Linked DNA regions of Sus scrofa. The main gene of each other region encodes a partner of the protein of the gene in region 2 in a complex. Links are inferred from orthologs where the notes say so. Each region holds a gene or a part of one and is shown on either strand. Other genes may lie near its edges. The genes, in order: BCL10 and MALT1.

Region 1 (9,961 bases), on a different chromosome or scaffold from region 2:
GTTCCAAGTTATGGATAATTTGACTCTTAGTCACAGAAGCCAAGTGCTTCATCTCGAAGGAGGAAAAACCACCGAGTCTGCCAGAGGTCGACACCGACGGGCTGCTCTCTGGGTCAGTACGCATGTTCGGAGAGGACTTGCAACACCTTAGTCTTACATTCTCTGCTGACTTGAGAGACGAACCCCCGTGTGTACTGGGATTTCACCAGAGTTAGGTTTTCTCTAAACGATATTGTTAAAGGGACATAAACACAGAACACTGAGTGATATTCCACTTTTGCAATGTAATGACATCAAATAAGGCAAAAACGTGCAAATCAAATGTAACGCTGAAGCTTCAATTGTTTGAATAAAAGCAAAATCATCATTTTTGGGCTTTTTATCTTGTTTTGCCTTCTACTTTCAAAAGCGTTGCTGGAGTTCCTATCGTGGTGCAGTGGAAACGAATCCGACCAGGAACCATGAGGTTGCGGGTTCAATCCCTGGCCTTGCTCCGTGGGTTAAGGATCCGGCGTTGCCGTGAGCTGTGGTGTAGGTCGCAGACATGGCTCGGATCTGGCGTTGCTGTGGCTATGGTGTAGACTGGCAGCTGTAGCTCTGATTAGACCCCTGGCCTGGGAACCTCCACATGCTGTGGGTGCAGCCCTAAAAGGAGAAAAGACAAAAAAAAAAAAAAAAAATCAAAAGCGTGGCTGCATTTAAGTGATCTCCTGGATCTCTGAGATACCTTACCTTTCAGGTGTTCTAGTTTTATATTTCTAAGTTTCAGTACTTCATCTGTAATCTTCTGTATCAGAAAGTTCTGTGTTTTTTCTCGCCGAATAGATTCGACCAGGGTATCCAGTCCTTTGGGGTTTTCTTGTAAGTAGTCTAACAATTTTCCAGCCCTTTTTCTACTTGATGTTCGGCAGGAAATTTCTTCGGTGTCTTCTCTACTGAGTATTTTTTTTGCACGTAAATGATCAAAATGTCTCTCAGCTATGATTTTTTCACACAGGTACACACGCAAATTTTCTAAAGCCTGAAAGACATAAAATACACCTCAATGCATTTTTTTTTAACACATAAGGAAATCGCATAGGTGATTGATTACCAGTCAGGAATCTGAACTGGTGAGAGAGCATCCTGAAGGCAGGATGCTCAGGCCTCCGAGAGGGCTTTACTATCAGATGAAGGTCCAGGGAGACAGAATCAGGTCCCAGCCAAGATATTCGTCACTGATGTGTCCTGCTCTGGTCTCAGCTTCCCACCTACAAGCCAGGAGGAAACTACTGCGAGGACGGGCAGGTCTAAGCGGGGGCTTGAGTCTGCGGACAGAGGGAGGCGTGCCCAGGGCCTTCAGGAGCAGACGAGGGGAGAGGTCACTGGACCGGGTAGCTACCACTCAGCAAGGCCTCTGGATTGGTCAAGACCACAGAGGTAACTGAGCGAGAGGAGTCACGTCTCTAACTTTCTCACGTTATTAATTTTCTACCTTCCTAGAGTAAAACCATGAAAGGAATCAAGAAAGCAAGAAAGGACCTAAATTAAAAGGGCCCATAATGTATCTCTCTGTGGAGTTAGTTGGAAAGACTATAATCAAACTCAGTCTTGGTAGAAGGGGGGAAGAATGGGTGTGTGTGCGTGTGTGTGTGTGTGTGTGTGTGTGCGCGTGCGTGTGCATGCACAGGGAGGAACCTAAAGGAATAGCGGATATTGGAAAAAACTAAAGAAATACAGAAACGAGTGGATTTTGGAAAAATACACATAAATAGGTCTACACCAGAGAAGTGCCTAAGGAGGCTTAATTAGCCGAAAATCAAAATAGGTCCCAATAATTTTTTTTTGGTCACCTCTGTGGCACGTAAAAGTTCTCAGGCCAGAAGATCCTGTCGTGGTTCAGTGATTAACGAATCCAACTAGGATCCATGAGTTGAGGGTTCAATCCCTGGCCTCACTCAGTGGGTTAAGGATCTGGTGGTGCCGTGAGCTGTGGTGTAGGTTGCAGACGCAGCTCAGATCCCGTGTTGCTGTGGTGCAGGCTGGCAGCTGCAGCTCCGATTAGACCCCTAGCCTGGGAACCTCCATATGCCACAGGTGCAGCCCTCAAAATACAAGAGACAAAAAAAAAAAAGTTCCCAGGCCAGAGATTGAACTTGCACCACAGCAGTGATAACAGCGGATCTTTACCCCACTGAACCACCAGGCAACTCCTAAATGGCATTAATAATTCAATGTGAGCGACTATATTGCAGCTCCTCCATGTACAAGATATGGGATCTTGGGTGAGGACCTTAACTCCTCTGTGCCTCAGTGTCCTCAGCTGAGGGTTATGAGGAATAAGTTAACACATGCAGAGTACTTGGAAAAGTGCCTGGTACATAGTAAGTGATGAATAAATGCTAGTGATGAGGACGATGACGACTAATTTGACTCACACTGACAATGATGAGCTAAAGGCAATGGAAACTCTCTGAAGTACTCTAGAACACAGTGGCAGAAAAGCAGATCAGGTGAAGGCTCCCCTGGTTCTCAGTTCACTCAACTCCCGTATTCATTTATTTATTCACACAACAAACACTTCACATATCTAAATGCCTAATATGCCACATGCTGAGCCGAAGACATGCAAAGACGCACAAGACTTGAATCCTGCATTCAAAGGACACATGGTCTAGCTGAAGAATACATGATCAACTCAAGCTAATGATCAGGAGACAATGAGATACAACTTGGAAAAAAGTTACAGGTCAAGTACTGGGGATGCAGAGAGCAGGCAACTGACTCTGCCTCCAGGACCTGGGAAATTGATCGAGGCTAAGCCTGAGCTAGAAGCATAAAAGGAATGCAGTGGCGGGGGGACCTCATCAAAGGTTTATAAATAAGAGGCGAAAAGAAGACTTTTACAGACGATTGGGAGAAACAAAAACGGGTCAAAGGAGACATGAGAAGACTGCTGAACTCTCTTACCCAGGATGTGCTGAGTGCGAGAATTTAAGCTGTGGGGATAACAAATGAGAAACACAGACTTAAAAAGACCGTCTCCTTGGAAAAGCTCAACTGCTGCAATTTCCAACCCCTGTGCGTGGATGACTCCTGAAAATGCCTATGATCAAGACTCTCTCCACCTAGAGATGCCGGCAGTACTTCAAACTCAACACGCCCCAAGCCGCATCTGCGTCCCCATCCTTTTCCTCGGACGCTCTCGGCTCCCCTGGGAGGGCCGCCATCCGTCCAGACGCGCGATACACCCCGACAACTCGTCCTGGGCTTTTCCCCTTTCACTCGCTTGCCACACTGGATCACCCTTCCTCCAAGTCCCACCAGTCCGCCCTCGACACTTCTCTCATCTGCCCCCTCTCCCTCCCGAGCCCTAGCACCGTCCTAGTTCTGGTCCCCTGTACTCTGCCTGGACTGCTAACAAGACACCTCGCTGTACCTCTTCCTTCTCTCCCCACAGCCCTCAAATTCCTCCCCACACATCATCAGACGTCTCATTGCTCAAGAAAAAAAAATGGAAATCTGGAGTGTGAGATGAATTCTACTAAGATTGAAATGCTGTTAATTTTTAAAAAATGTGAAACACTGTGTTCCACCGCAACTTAAAGGATAAAGTTTCTCACATGGCAGAATAGTGGAGAAGTTAAGAGCACGGCTCTGGACCCAGGCCCACCTCAGTGCAAATCCTGCATCTGCCACGATCTCCTGTGGGAGCTGGGCAAGCTCCTCAGCCTCTCTAGCTTCAGATTCCCCACTGGTCATCACCAATAAATACACGGCACGATCCCTGGGAGGACTAACTGGACAGCGCTTACCAGGGACTTGCCCATCCACGGGATTTTTTTTTTGCCTTTTTAGGGTATCACCTGAGGCGTATGGAAGTTCCCAGGCTAGGGTCAAATCTGCACTGTAGCTCCTGGCCTACACCACGGCAACACCAAATCCGAGTCTCATCTGCAACCTGCACCACACCTCACGGCAACGCCGGATCCTTAATCCACTGAGTGAGGAAAGGGATGGAACCTGCGTCCTCATGGATACTAGTCAGGTGTGTTACCGCTGAGCCATGACGGGAACTCCATCCATGGATTTTAGTATCAGCGGCCAGTCCTCCATAGTTACAGAGGGATGATTGTATATTCTTCAAGAGAGAAAACAGCAGAAACAACAAGCAGCTTTGAGGGAGGGATGATAAAATGATCAACCTTAGACAAGGTGAGGAATCTGAAGGATATCAAACTGGATTTCCCGCAACTATTTGGAAATAAGCACTTAGATTTGGGAAAGAAGGCAGGCCAAATATATGTATGATAATTTTAAACCTTCTAAGGTCATAAACCATTTCCATCACGTGAAAAAATGTTCTAAGAAAAAAATGAGCAGCTCTATTTTTTTCACAGCTGTCCTGAAACCGGTGCATGATTCCCCAAGGTTATGAATTTCAGAGCTGGCTGTGCACTGAAATCTTGGAGATGGAGAATGTCAATGAGCTGACGGCAAAAAATACAGGCCTGGCAGTCACCCTTCACATCTGTGTTTGTGTGCGGGTTTTGGAACCTCCCACTTGCAACCTCTCACTACCTGTTTTGTCAACTGTAAAATGGAAAAGACAGCGATCCCCCTCAGAGGCTGGTGTACAGATGACGCTAGAACACTGTAAACCGTGCGATGCAGCACCTGCCTCCTGAAGTTCATGCTTTTACTGGCACAAATCCTGAACAGCACAACACTCATTCTTTAGTAGTTACCAACATCCGAGTTCTGACGGGAATGGGAAGCAGGGACCTGTCATTTTTGGGTATCTTTCCAGGCCGAGGAACAGTGCTTTCCATCTAGTGAGCGCCCCAGAATTATCTGCTGAAGGAGGAAATTAAGGCACAAGCCCTACTCTTAACCAGAGTCCTTCTGCTAATGAGTCACACCGACTCTGCATTATGGGTACAGTGTGATAAACCTCACAGGTGAGGGAAAAGGAAGCACAGGAACATTTAAAAAGCTGCTTCCTGTCCACTTCACAAAGGTGGTTTTGTACAGCACTGCGGCGCTAAGCGAGAACACAGTTCATGTTGATTTTTAAAATGTGAATTAATACAAAGTATTTTAATGGTACTCATACAAGTCTCACAAAGCAAAACAAACAACTAAGAGCAAAGGGTAAGAGAAACAAGTCACTCTTGGTGAATAAATATTAAGATTTGTACATTTCTGCAGCATCCAAGCAGCGGAGCATAACGCAGCTACCGAATGTTTCCAGCGTTCACCTGTAAATAAATTCTCGGCCTTCGGGCCCCGGCCCCCGTCCCCTCCCCCTCGCCCCTCCGATTTAAATACGTGGGCGTTTGCTTTCTAGGGGAATTCCGACTCGTGCTTTCAGCTGCTGAGCTTCCCTCAACCCCCGCTGCCAAAGTTTCACATATTTGCTCCACTGCTTGGGATGCTTTACCTGGTCCAGCTTTTGCTCCAGGCTGAGAGAGCCAGCAGCCAAGGCTCAGACTCAAGGACGAGCTTGAGTCGCCGACTTCCGACAACGTAGCTCCACCCCTGGAAGCGCCAGAGGATGGGTGGGGAGTGGGCCGGAGGCTGTGAAGGAGCGCTCCACCCAACAAGGTTCCAGAAACCCAAGCCCCGCTTTGATTGATTTAACACGCGAGTTCACAGGTCACCAGGGGTCGGACCGCTTCCACCAGGTCCCCGCGATGCCGGCTCGGCTCCCGCGGCGCCCGGACCTGCCGCTTCTCCCACCGCGCGCTGCTCCCCAGCTGCGGGCCGGGCCGGGCCGGGCCGCCGGGTTTCCGCTCCCGTCGCCCGCAGGCACGCAGCCCGCCCCGCCCGCCCGCCCGGGCCCGGCCGTGCTACTCACGTCCTTCTTCACTTCGGTCAGGTCCTCCTCGGTCAGGGACGGCGCGGCGGGCTCCATGGCGGAGGCGGGGGACGGCGCTCCTTCCGGGTCCGCGCTCGGGCTGCGCCGCCCCGCCCAGGCTGGGGGCTTCGGCCTCCCGAGGAGGGGTGGGGAGGGGAGGCGGAGAGGGTGGGGGGACGGCTACCTCCTCGAAAACAGGGGGACCGAGGGTCAAACAAGCGCTTCCGGCTCTGCCTCCGGGCCGACGGCGGCGCAGACCTACGCGTCTAGACGCCGAGCTCCGGGCTCGGCTCCTGCGCGCTCGCGGAGGCCGGGGCGCAGGACCGCCCCTCTGGGAGGCCGGCCCTCGGAGAGCCCGTCCCGTCTCTCCGAGAGCCAATCGGAGCCAGCCCGCGGCCGGCCTGGTCCCGCCCCCGGCCGGAGCCCTTCCAGGGTGGCCCCGCCCACGGCCTCCAGGTCGTTTGCATGGGGCGGGGGGAGGCCTCCCGAGAGGATCGTTTCCGTGGGCGGGGCCGGCGCGGCTCGGTCTGTGGGCGGTCGCCGCCCGCGCGGGCGGCTCTGATGCAGCTGGAGCTCTGCTGGTCGGTGCTGCTGTGTTCCTCCCCTTCTCCCAGCCCCTGCCCACCGATTTCCTGTTGCTGTTTGCCCACGCAAGTTTTACAATGGTTTGGTCACACACAGACGCTCGCGCGCGCGCACACGAGACTCATATACAGCCTAACTGCAGTTCATATTGAAGGAATTTCTGAAAGAGAAAAACCGCCTACAATGCCATCACTTTAACACCTCATTTAACCTCTGCATACTTTCTGGTCACTGTTTATGATAAACGTATTTCCTTATTTCTTCATCTGAGGGATGAAGATGTGTCTCTTCTACCTCTCACAGGTGACAATTCAATGACGTGACAGATGTGAGGTTCTTAGAGGTCTGGGCCCACAGTCCGTGCTCAGCTCTTGCTCAAACATTTATTGAGTCCTTCCTACTATATTCTAGACACCCAGTCCCGTAAGAGTTCTCCCATCTTTCTGGGGGAGACTGATGAACAGATACGATTCTCAGAACGGTGCATCCAAAGTAACGAGGGTGATAAGTCCGGAAAGGGCTCAGGGCCCAAGACGATTGTTTGGACAACATGGTAAATAAACTAGAAAGAAAGTATATGGTATTTGGAAGCTAGAGGGTAGATAAAAATGCGGACCAGGGGGCGGAAGACAAATTTGAGGATCCAGAATCCTTTAAAGGAAGGGAAAACAAGAACCAGAAAACAACAATGTTGTCAAGGCCGCATCAATGTATTTTTCCATCACAGGGCAGGGATCTTACTTTTAACATTACATCATGTGTGTTTGTCCATATTCATACACAGTATTTTTTCTGATTGCTTAATCTTCCGTCATCTTTTTCTAACCCAATTCACTTAACTAGTTGTTCTTTCATTCACAAATATTTGTTGAATGTCAACTATGGGCCAGACACTGTTCTAGGTGCTGGGGAAATAGCTATGAACGAAATAGTTAAAAATTCCTTTCCTCCTGGAGTTTAAATTCGTGTGTGTGTGTGTGTGTGTGTGTGTGTGTGTGTGTGTGTTTGGGGCAGGGCAGACAGACATTTGAAAAATGTTATGTAAATTATTTATTACGTTAGAAGATGATAAATACGCAGAAAATATAAAACGGGGCAGCAGGTTGAGGGGGTATGGCATGGTGAGTGAAGACCTGTTGAGAAGGGGATTTGGGTCGCACTTGAAGGGGCTGAAGGAAAGAGCCATGTGGACAAGCAGAGGGAGCAGCCAGGGGAAAAAAGCAGGGGGACGGGAGGCCAAGTCCAGGGCAGCTGTGCTTCATCTCTGCTCTGAGTCACAGGACAGCCTCTGAGTCAGACAAGAAGCCACTGGAGGACGCCGAGCAGAGGAGTGGCGCGATCCGATTTATGATTGGAAAAAGGCGCGCTTTCACTGTTGCCTTGAGGGAAAGGAAGAGGGGAACGGGGGACCCTCAAGGAGCTACTGCCTTTGTCCCCAGGAGGTGGTGGCTCAGAACAGGGTTGCTGGCAGTGAGGGTGGGGAGACCATTTTGAAGAGACGGGAGGTGGGGGGGGGAAGAGGGAGTGATTTCATTTCCTTTTCAAAGAATCACGCTGGCTGCTGGGCAGAGAGCAGACTGCAGGTGTAAGTGTGGAAGCAGAGACCAGCCGGGAGCTCCCACGGCGGCTCCGGCCAAGCGGGCGGCGCTGGGACCAGGCTGGGCGCCCTGAGCGCTTCCCCAAGGAGACGTCAAGTTAGCCCCAGTTTTGCATTATGATTAACAAGCTTTCCCCTCGAGTATTCCTCTGTGTTTTCCATGGCCATTTCTCTTTTAATTTATCATTTCCTTTGCACGAGTTCTCAGCAGCAAATGAGGATCTTGGCATCTGACCAGCCCAGCCTAGTGTGGTGGTTTCCTAGGGCCGCTGTGATGAGGTGCTGCGAACAGGGTGTGTAAGCCGCAGAAACGTCTTCGCTCGCGGCTCTAGAGGCTCGAAGTCCAAACGGGCAGAGCCCTGCTCCCTCCGAAGGCCTCAGGGAGGCCTGCTCCTTCTCTTCCTCGAGCCTCGTGGTCGCTGGCGATCCTTGGCGCCCCGTGGCTGTGGCCACATAACTCCAGTCTGCCTGTTTTCTTCCTCTGCCTCAAGCTCCAAATGTCCTTCCTCTAATAAGGACGCGAATCATTGGATTTAGGGCCCCCTCAAATCCAGTAGGATGTTGGTTACATCTGCAAAGACAATATTTTCAAATAAGCTCCCATTCTGAGGTTCCAGCAGACATTTGAAGAGACGCTGTTCAACTCAATACTTGAATTCAAGATTTGCCGATGATTCGCTGCACGACCTGGGGACAACTGATACGCCTGCGGTAAAGACAGCTGTTACAGGGATGCAGAGGTGGGAGGAGGAAACCATTTCTGATGGATAAGACAACGTGAGAGGGTGTATTCAAACTGGGCCGAGGGCTTCAGTAGGCGGAGCTTCAACTGCTGCTGAATGATTTATTCTAACACTTCCTGCCAGATACCAGGTGCTGTGGTGAGCAATGCATGCTATTTCAAGTGATGTGAGCTATAAATTTCCCATAAGTAGTTTGAGGGAAAAAGTGGCCTTTCTGAGCCAGATACTCCTGGGTTTTATTGGTGAGATGATGCCTGGGGAGCTTAGACATTTTAGCTCAGGGATTTGGGGACACTCCAGGTGGGGCTGCCCCCCTAGCGGCTCCCAGCCTATAGGAAGGAAGGGCGAGGAGGGTGTGGAGAGGTGGGCGGGGCCTGAGCAAACTCCCTGAGGACAGTGGCAGGTGCACCCCAAGACTGAGACATTGATGAGGGAGCTGGGGGAGGCGTCGTTCCCTCTGGCCTCCCCCAGGAGACTGGTTGGTGTGCAGAGGAAGGGCAGGCCTTTGGTGTCAGAGGCCTAGGGCCATGGGACAACGTAACTTGGATCTGGTGGAGGGAGGCGATGTCCCATGTACGAGCAGGGGGACCTTGAGGGAGGGGCTGGATCCCACAGCCATGCAATTGCCTGGGAAGAAACGATCACAGACAATTTATTTCCCACCCATTCTGAGCCAAGTACACTTACCTTTGCTGTTACAGTTTTTTTTTTTTTTTTTTTCCTCATTTGGCCACCCCGTGGCACATGGATTTCCCAGGGCCATGGTTCAGATTTGAGTCACACTGTAGCTTCCACACGCCATGTCCTTTAACCTGGGCCCGGGATCAAACCTCCGTCCTAGTGCTGCAGTGATGCCACAGATCCTGTTGAGCCACAGTGGAAACTCCTGCTGTTACAATTTAATCTCTGCAACAGTCCTTCCAGGTAGACTTTATTATCCTTACGTTGCAGGTGAGAATTCTGTGTGTAACACAGCAGACGCAGCTCCAGGAGGACTCAGCGCCAGCACCCTCCCTCCTGACCTCGGTCTCCGGTCTCCGGTCTCCGTGGCTTCTGACTCACATCTCATTCTCCGGTTTTCAGCCTTCCTTCACTTGGGTTTGAATCATTCCTTTATCACTCACTTTTCAAGTTCAGGCAAGTTTCCCAATTGCTCTGCACCCCAAGTTTCTCATGCACCCTGGAAAAGAAGCTTAA
Region 2 (9,398 bases):
GTGTTTTGTTTTCACCATTTTGGATGAGCTCTTAATTATAAATGATTGCTTACCAAACTTGTTATAAATACTTTTTACCTGACCTTTTAATTTCATTTTATAAAAGGTTTTACTTACTGTTGAACTTTACCCACTGTGATTTTGTTACTGTTACTGAGATTTCTTATAAAGAAAAAGAATCAACTTCAATTACTTATCTAATTATCTGGAGTGCCAAGATAATATATTCATGGCTTTTACTTTTTTTTTTTTTTTCTTTTTGCCTTTTCTGGGGCCGCTCCCGTGACATATGGAGGTTCCCAGGCTAGGGGTCTAATTGGAGCTACAGCTGCTGGCCTACACCACAGCCAGAGCAACTCGGGATCCGACCCGTGTCTGCGACCTAAAACCACAGCTACAGTAACGCTGGAACCTTAACCCACTGAGCAAGGCCAGGGATCGAACCCACAACCTCATGGTTCCTAGTAGGATTCGTTAACCACTGAGCCATGATGGCAACTCCTGGCATTTTACATTTTAATGTGCTTCAATATGTTAATTTACCAAAAATCTTAAAGAACAGACTATTATGAAAAGAAAGATATTATACAGGAGTTCAACAAATGCAATTTTCAGTTATCTGTTTAATTAACCACAGCATAGATATTTGGGATTCACAGAAAATTCAAAAACCATTATTTCAATCAATAATTTTAACTTATTTTTTTCACTAAATCACATAGAATTACCAAAGGTAATTAGGTGAGGCAGAAATCACCTGCAACTTTTCTCTTTGCTCACTGACACATGGATTCAAGTGTCTAGGAGACAGAATGGTCAGTTATGCTCAGTAATACTTACAAGCACACAGTATCTGCTGACCATCCTGCTTGTGTCTTACATGTGACTTCATTCAATATCAACAACTCTATCAGGTAAGTACTATTTTTTTGTCTGCATTTTACAGATAACATGTTTATCAAAGAGGGGCCTGTCTGATTTTTGAAATAGCACACATACTTCCACTTCAGCAGCTCATGATATAGAAGAATCTAAGGGACTATATATTAGACAAATAGAAAATTGTTTAAAAAATTTTTAAATGATCATATTTTAATTTTATCCAAAGTAAAAATGGGTTATATTTCCAACATCAAATAAACCAGTGTAGTATCTATAATTGAAATCTTTATTTTTACGGAGTTTTTTAGCCTTGGGTTTACTCAAAAGGCTAAAATTTTCATCACAAAATTAGAAGGAAAGCTGTATGTTCAGAAGCAAAAACACTTCATGATGTAATCTAAACATATTACATTAAAAGCTCAAAAAAAGAGACTTCACTGTACCGTGCGCCTTGGCCCACTGGAGGTTCCGCACCAGGGATTCTGCAGAATGCGCCGTCCCCTGTATCGGGTCAGTGAGTGCTCTCTTTTCAGATAGGCTGCTTCGAATCTCTAGAGCCTGCTTGCCCTTGGTCAGGTGACATTTACCCATATCTAAAAGGTAAGAAGTAAATACTATTTTTAAGACCACGTCCTTTTATTTAAGCTAAGAACTCCTCCAAATCAGGTTATATTTTCAGCATCACTTACTCAGTCCACAGATATTTACCAAGCACCTAATATGTGCCAGACATGGTTCAAAGGGCTAGGGATATGGTAAATACTGGACCAGTTCTCTTTTAAAGGTCCCCTTCTTGCTTTTATCTTTTCTAATTCTATTAATCCCTAATAGTCTAAGCTTTGAAATTCATAAAGCTGCACCTATGGCATGTAGAAATTCCCAGGCCAGGGACCAAACATGTGCCACAGTGTGACCCCAGCCGCTGCAGTGACAGTGCTGGATCCTTAACCTGCTGTGTCATAAGGGAACTCCTTTTTTTCTTTTTTTGGTGAAAGTATTTTTTTTTTTTTTAAATGTTATGGCCACACCCACAGAATATGGAAGTTCTTGGGCCAGGGATTGAATCTGAACCTATGCAGTGACCCAAGCCACTGTAGTTAGATTCTCTCTCTTCTTTTCTAATGGCTGCACCTGCAGCAGGCATATGGAATTTCCCGGGCTATGGGCTGAATCACAATTGTAGCTGCAGCTTACACCACAGATATGGCAACACCAGATCTAAGCCTCATCTGCAACCTATGCCGCAGCTTGTGGTAATGCCAGATCCTTAACACACTGAGCAAGGCCAGGGATTGAACCTGCATCCTCACAGAGACAAGGTTAGGTCCCTAACCTGCTTATCCACAACGGGAACTCCTGCAGTCAGATCCTGACGCCGCTGTGCCACAGCAGGAACTCAACATATCTTTTTAAGTTAAAAACAACTAAAATAAAAATGTACATACTTTTTGCAGACATATATAAACTCAATAAAACTATGTAGGAGGCAAATCGATGGAATGATAAACAAGATTCAGAAGAATGGCTGCCACGTAATGGGGGGCAAGGAAATAGAGGGGACATACAATTGGATGTAGATTACTGTCAAGGTCTGAAATTCACGTTGAACATCTAACTGACAATAAAAACCATCAGAAGTATGTTCCAAGGGACTCTGATCACTAAAAACAATTAAATCATTAAATATTTTCTTCCTAGTAGGTCTTGGGAGTTTTATATATAGCAAGATAGTTTTTGGGTACCATACTGCCAGAACTACATAGGAAAGAATTTCTTTTTGCAATTTCAAGCAACTTAACAATACTGCTATCTGGAGTAATACACAGTCAAAATCTGGGGCACAGATTGATAGCTGTGGCCTGAGAACAGCAACAAATTTATTTCATATTTTTGTTTCACTTGCACACATGGCCTATGACCTTTGGGTACTTTTTTCCTGAATACTTTTAAGTTACCCAGAAGATCCAAAGCTCAAATATATAATAAAATAAAAGAAAAATCCAGAAGTTCAAATATAAACTCAGAGCACATACTGGGATGCCATCCATTTCCATGACAACAAAGTATACACCATATATAGGTGAACTGGTGTTTTTAAGTTTTAAAATAGTATAAAAGACTAGAATTAGAATAAAACATTTTTTACGACTAGAATAAAACATTTTAAGTCTTTGAAGCACCTTCACATCTCACTCTGAAAATAACTGACATATTCTAAAGGCTGTAATATTTTTGTTAAGCACCAGTACTTTTTCTTCAAATGAGATTCTTAAATAGAAGCCCACACAATATGTAAAGCAGATAAAAGCAGAACTTCTTTGAAGACGGGAAGGACAAAGCCTTGGCTGTCTACCTCAAGGGGGAAAATGGTTAAGTCAAGTGATCCAGCTAAGGGATCTACACTGACAGAAGCATGAAAATAAACGAAAAGTGACTAACAGCGGGTCGTAAAACACTCAGAGACCATATACTCAAGCTCCATCTTTGGAACAGCCATAAAACTCCATTTTCTAGTGAGCCAGGCTGCAAAAGAATTGCCTTCTTTTTGATATGATTTATAAAATGACACGAAAAAAACACGTCAGGCTACAGCTGTAACATGTACTTATTCAGTGCCTGACATGAGCACAGAACTACACCAGGCAGAGAAGGATGGAACGGAAGGAACTGGAGGATGCGGTGTTAGGCTTCTAGGATTGTGTCCGTGAAGCAGAATTTTAAAACTGCCTAGTTCATCAAGGGAAAAAAGAAACCAGCTTTTTCCCACAGGGCCTCAGAATTTCTGTACAGTTTCCTCTGATTCTGAAAGATGCTTTTTTTTGAAAATAAGCTCTGAGGATTAAGCTTCATTTGTTTCATAACTGTGTCCCGGGTCAGCCTCATATTGTAGCTGAAGTAATTCTACACAGATGGTATGTAACTAAGCCAATAGGGAAGGAAGGAAACAGGAATGTCGTGAACATTATATAAAAGTTGTTTTATGAAATAAAAACTAATTCCAAACCCACATAGTAATAGCAGGAATAAAATAATTATCCAACAGAGAACCCTGAGTAGCTTTCCCTTTAGTTTTTATTTTACCTTCTGCAACTTCATCCAGTAACACAGTAATTTTCTTTTCTTCTAATAATCTGTCTTTTAAAAATTTCATGAAGATTCCATTTGCCAATCCAGAATGCTGTATTTCAAAAGCTTCTGCTCCTTGACACCTGAAAAGAAAGACATTTAAAAAGCAAATGCTTGTTATGTGTGGCTTCTGCAAATACTGATGAGCCTCATTTATTCCCCTGCCTCTTGCATGACATCCTAACTAAATAGTTAATCTTTAAGCAGGAACCAAATGCTCTGGTATTTGGTAAGAAGATGCCAAGATATGAAGTGCTTGGTCAATTGTTTAGAATTTTCTATCAAGAATGTGGAGTTCCCACTGTGGCTCAGTGGTTAACAAATCCAACTAGGAACCATGGGGTTTTGGGTTTGATCCCTGGCCACGCTCAGTGGGTTGAGGATCCAGCATTGAGGTGAGCTGTGTGTAGGTCACAGACATGGATCAGATCTGGTGTTGCTGTGGCTGTGGAGTAGGCCAGTAGCTGCAGCTCCAATTAGACCCCTAGCCTGGGAACCTCCATGTGCCATGTGTGCAGCCCTAGAAAAGACAAAAAAAAAAAAAGGAATATCAAGGAGACAAATTAATGCCTAGACGTCTATGGATATTTCCAGGCTTCTACTCTGCAGTCACCAAAGAAGTCATCAAAGAATGAAGGAATCTTCAACATAAACATGACGTTTTCTTACGTGGCATATCCAAACACAATATTGGCAGTGACTTTTAGTGCATCCAAGATTGGAATGGTATCATCATAGTCATTTCTATTTAAAAGGAAGGAGAGAAAGATGTAAACATGAAAAGTTAAAACAGCATTCTTAAAAGAGCATAAATAATGAAAAATATATGATACTGTTATATTCCACATAATTTTAAATTTATACGTTCAAAATTCCTTTATCTAGTTAGTATATTTACCAGAAAAAAATCCAGGGTCCCTACATTGTTGAGAGGGCAGAGAATCCTTTTTTCTTATTAGTTTTAGAAGTGGAGTTACATTTGAACTTGGGCATTGGATTTTTTTGTTTTTTTTTTTTTTTTTTTTTGGCATTGGGTTTTGATTGGTAAAAGCTGAACAAGCAAACTGTAAATATGAGTAGAATCATCATTGGTTCTATTCCTGCATAACACAGCGGCAGACCAATGGAATCCAAATCGTCAAACATATGGGTCAGCTAAACTTCCTATGTCTGCAAGACCAGGACTAACTAACTAGAGTGACTAGAGGCCCCCACTCTGTGGGTGCTGTTTCTGCTAATTCCTGGAGGAACAACTGCAGTGATTATTGGAGACATCCAAAGGCATTCTGAGGAGCTGCATCTTTTCTCGTATGAGTAAATACCCACGCCCTTTCGTCCATCACTTTTGCTCTAGAGCAGGTATACACAGAAAAAAAATACATTTTCCTCTAACTTTCTTCTTAATCAGTTTCAGTCTATAATCTAAAATTCACAAACTTCAGTGGTTCCTTGCCCAGGTTTGCCTTAGATCTACCTTGTCAGGGTTGATATTTAACTAACATGAGACAGCTTCGCTATATAAAGACTGGACAGCCTACCTTTTCCTGCACATATCCAACAGGAACACATTGAGTCCCGTTTCTTTTTCTTGCATCAATTTCAATATATTTTGGACGCATAGACAATTTTCAGACCTATATGGATTTGGAGCATCAATAGGGACCATAAAGCTATTCCCAAAGTTTTCATAACCATGTCCCGCATAATATAACAGTCCTGAAAAGCAAAGAAAGAGAAATTGCACTCTGAACATCTAGCACTATGAAAGGAACACCACGACTTTTCTTTCCTTTCTTTCTTTCTTTTTTCTTTTTTTTGTCTTTTCACCTTTTCCAGGGCCGCTCCCATAGCATATGGAGGTTTCCAGGCTAGGGGTCTAATCAGAGCTGTAGCCACCGGCTTACGCCACAGCCACAGCAACAAAGGATCCGAGTCGCGTCTGCAACCTACACCACATCTCACAGCAATGCCAGATCCTTAACCCAGTGAGCAAGGGCAGGGATCGAACCCACAACCTCATGGTTCCTAGTCGGATTCGTTAACCACTGCGCCACGATGGGAACTCCGACTTTTATTTTCTTAAAGTTAAATGCAAGCTTATTTACAAGAGATGCAACTATAAACATACTCAATGTTAACTGAATTTGCATTGAAAATTGCCAAAATAGGCAAGTCTTCATTTAAGTACTGAATTTTAAACCAACATCAAGATGCTATCCTGAAGTGTATTTCAATTCATAAAAGTTATACATTTGTTACCACTGGTACAATATGGAATGCAATTTTATCTCATATTTAAAAACAAAAAAGGCTAAGGACTTTTGACACATTTGTCTTCTCTGTAAAATCTTCAGGGCAGTCCTACATTTATCTGTGATTCCTGGTACCAGCAGGAGTTTAGTGAGTATTTAATGGATGAAGGAATAAACAATTAAGATGAATAGCCATAGCAATGTCAGGTGTGAGAAGTTCCATAATATTTTATTATGATATTAGTAAGGGGTATAAAAATATAAAGCAGAGAAGGAAATCTCATTTCATGGCTTGTTATTTCTTTTTGTTATGATATAAATAAATATCATTAACTTTCCACCTGTAATCTGAATTAATCTAAAATTTGGGTTAGTTTTAATGTTCAAAAGATGAGTCATTTCTTTGCTGAGAAATAGTACTAGACAAACTGCACCAAACCACTTGGAACACCTTCTTGAAAAGAAGTTCATTTTGGATGTTAAAAAAAAAAATCAATATGGACCCTCATAAAAAATACTTGATAGAAATACTTGTGAACACTTGATGAAGACACACTCCTCTAAGCATGCAGTGTCTTGAGCCCACTAATTTTGCTCTCAATATTCTGGATATGATGCCTTCTTTATGTGGTATTCTAAAGCAAACAGTAAAAAGGCATTTAGATAGGGGAAACCAACAAAAAAGCTAATTCTTTTTTTTTTTTTTTTTGTCTTTTGTCTCTCTTTGTTGTTGTTGTTGTTGCTATTTCTTGGGCCGCTCCCGCAGCATATGGAGGTTCCCAGGCTAGGGGCTGAATCGGAGCTGTAGCCACCGGCCTACACCAGAGGCACAGCAACGCGGGATCCGAGCCGCATCTGCAACCTACACCACAGCTCACGGCAACGCCGGATCGTTAACCCACTGAGCAAGGGCAGGGATCGAACCCGCAACCTCATGGTTCCTAGTCGGATTCGTTAACCACTGCGCCACGACGGGAACTCCCAAAAAAAAAGCTAATTCTTTATAGTTGCAGCCCCAAGCCCTAGCAAGGTGTCTTTTAAGAGCAAAGAAAACTTGTTTCCTTTGGTCCTAGAGGGCAAGATCCAGGTGGCCTACTTTTCTTGAACTATTATTCAAATGAGAAAAATGATTCTTTGATATGTTCCCATTTTAGGTCAAAAATAACAAAAGTGGACACACCTATTTATTCAGTGTGGGTTTATTCTCCCTCAGGTGAGCCCTGAATATTATCGTGTAGGTAGAGAGGAAAATGAAAAAGAAGTAAAGACAGAGTTCCTGGCCCTGAGGACCTTGCAGCTAATTCATCCCCACTCATGTTAGTGGTTAAACAAAGAGAAGTCGGCGTATTTGTGATGAGGACGACCACTGAATGAGATGAATAAAGTGCAGAGAGGAATGTCAGTGTGAGGTGCAGTGATAACAGGTGGTCTTAAGAGAAAGGGTACAACCTGAAAGGCAGAGCAATAGCAAGGGATGTTATAGTCAGGATGCACAGAAACAAGCAAGGCTTGGACCTGGAATGATCCTGAACAGAAAGGTCGCTGAAAAGAAGTATCCCGGCAAGAAACCGAATCATCACTGTAAATGAAAGTCAGAGTGCACAGATAGGAAGCGTTTTGAAAATCATGGCAAAGGACTGGGATCAATTTGCTAAGCAATGAAGATCAAGTGAAAAGACAACCCACAGAATGGGAGGAAATATTCATCTGTCTCTAAGGACATTAAAAAAGGACAAATCATATATCCATCAAAGGATATTTATATCCTTATTTATACAAATTTATATCCTTATTCACACATATTTATATCCAGAATATATAAAGAACTCTACAATAATAAAACGACAACCCAATTTAAAAATGAGTAAAGAATTTGAATAAATATTTCTTCAAAAAGAATATGTAAGTGGCAAATAAGCACATGACAAGATGCCCAACATCACTGACCATTTGGGAACATGGGATATCACTTCGCATTTACTAGAAGGGCTATAATCAGAAAAGCAATGACAGGAGTTTCCATCCTGGCTCAGGGGAAATGAATCTGACTAGGATCCATAAGGATGCAGGTCTGATCTCTGACCTTGCTGGTTAAGGATCCAGTGTTGCCATGAGCTGTGGTGTAGGTCACAGACTCGCCTCGGATCTGGCATTTATATGGCTGTGGCATAGGCCAGCAGCTTCAGCTCCAATTTGACCCTCAGTCTGAGAACCTCCATATGCCATGGATGGGGCCCTAAAAAGACCAAAAAAAAAAAAAAGTAATGACAGATGTTGACTAGGATGTAGAGAAACTGGAAACCTTATTTATTTCTGGCAGGAATGTGCCATAGTGCAGGTACTTTGGAGTTAGGCAGTTCCTCAAAAAGTGAAACTTAAGGAGTTCCCTCTGTGGCACAGTGGGTTAAGAATCTGACTGGAGCAGCCTGGGTGGCTGTGGAGATGCAGGTTCAATACCCAGCCTGGTGCAGTGGGTTAAAGGATCTGGTGTTGCTACAGCTGTGGCTCCAATTCAGTCCCGGGCCTAGGAACTTCCAGATGCCACAGGCGTGGCTATTAAAAAAAAAAAAGGTGTTCTCGTCATGGTTCAGTGGTTAATGAATCAGACTAGGAACCATGAGGTTGTGGGTTCGATCCCTGGCCTTGCGCAGTGGGTGAAGGATCTGGAGTTGACGTGAACTGTGGTATAGGCTGGTGGCTATAGCTCCGATTCGACCCCTAGCTTGGGAACCTCCCTACGCCGTGGGTGCGGCCCTAGAAAAGACAGAAAGACAAATAAATAAATAAATAAAAAATAATAAAAATAAAAATAAAAAAAAAGGAAAAGAAACAGAATTATATGACCCAGCAGTTCTACTCCAAGGTAAATATGCTAGAGAACTGAGAATGTGTGTCCACAGGAGAATGTGTACATGAACATTCACAGCAGCATTATTCAGAATATCCCCAAAGGGGAAAACACTAAGATGTCCATCTGCTGAGGAATGGATAATCAGAGTGTTCTGTATCCACACAAGATTATCCACTCATAAACATAACACTACAACAGAGATGAACCTTGAACACACTGTGCTGAGGGAAAGAAGCCAGACACAAAAGGACACATATGGAGTAATTCCAGTTATATGAAATGTCCTC

What was found.
Region 1: the proteins of MALT1 (region 2) and BCL10 are in contact, whole or in part, in a cryo-EM structure (PDB 6GK2), measured with the Homo sapiens proteins. The link is inferred for Sus scrofa from reciprocal best matches to the Homo sapiens genes MALT1 and BCL10. Residues at the interface, in NP_006776.1 of Homo sapiens: Asp46, Gln47, Ala48, Pro49, Trp54, Arg55, Leu74, Glu75, Ser78, Leu79, Val81, Leu82, Glu83, Pro84, Glu85, Gly86, Pro88; in NP_003912.1 of Homo sapiens: Leu13, Lys17, Val83, Arg87, Asn93, Gln97, Thr100, Leu104, Arg107, Asn108, Leu111.

Annotation. Positions count from the first base shown.
Region 1 is NC_010446.5:130,641,377-130,651,337, reverse strand, and holds the start of BCL10 (B-cell lymphoma/leukemia 10), read right to left. Parts: upstream 5,912-9,961; 5' UTR 5,897-5,911; coding exon 5,840-5,896; intron 1,022-5,839; coding exon 733-1,021; intron 1-732. UniProt on the Homo sapiens protein: Plays a key role in both adaptive and innate immune signaling by bridging CARD domain-containing proteins to immune activation.
Region 2 is NC_010443.5:162,086,827-162,096,224, forward strand, and holds part of MALT1 (mucosa-associated lymphoid tissue lymphoma translocation protein 1), read right to left. Parts: intron 5,725-9,398; coding exon 5,547-5,724; intron 4,753-5,546; coding exon 4,678-4,752; intron 4,092-4,677; coding exon 3,964-4,091; intron 1,476-3,963; coding exon 1,326-1,475; intron 1-1,325. UniProt on the Homo sapiens protein: Protease that enhances BCL10-induced activation: acts via formation of CBM complexes that channel adaptive and innate immune signaling downstream of CARD domain-containing proteins (CARD9, CARD11 and CARD14) to activate NF-kappa-B and MAP kinase p38 pathways which stimulate expression of genes encoding pro-inflammatory cytokines and chemokines.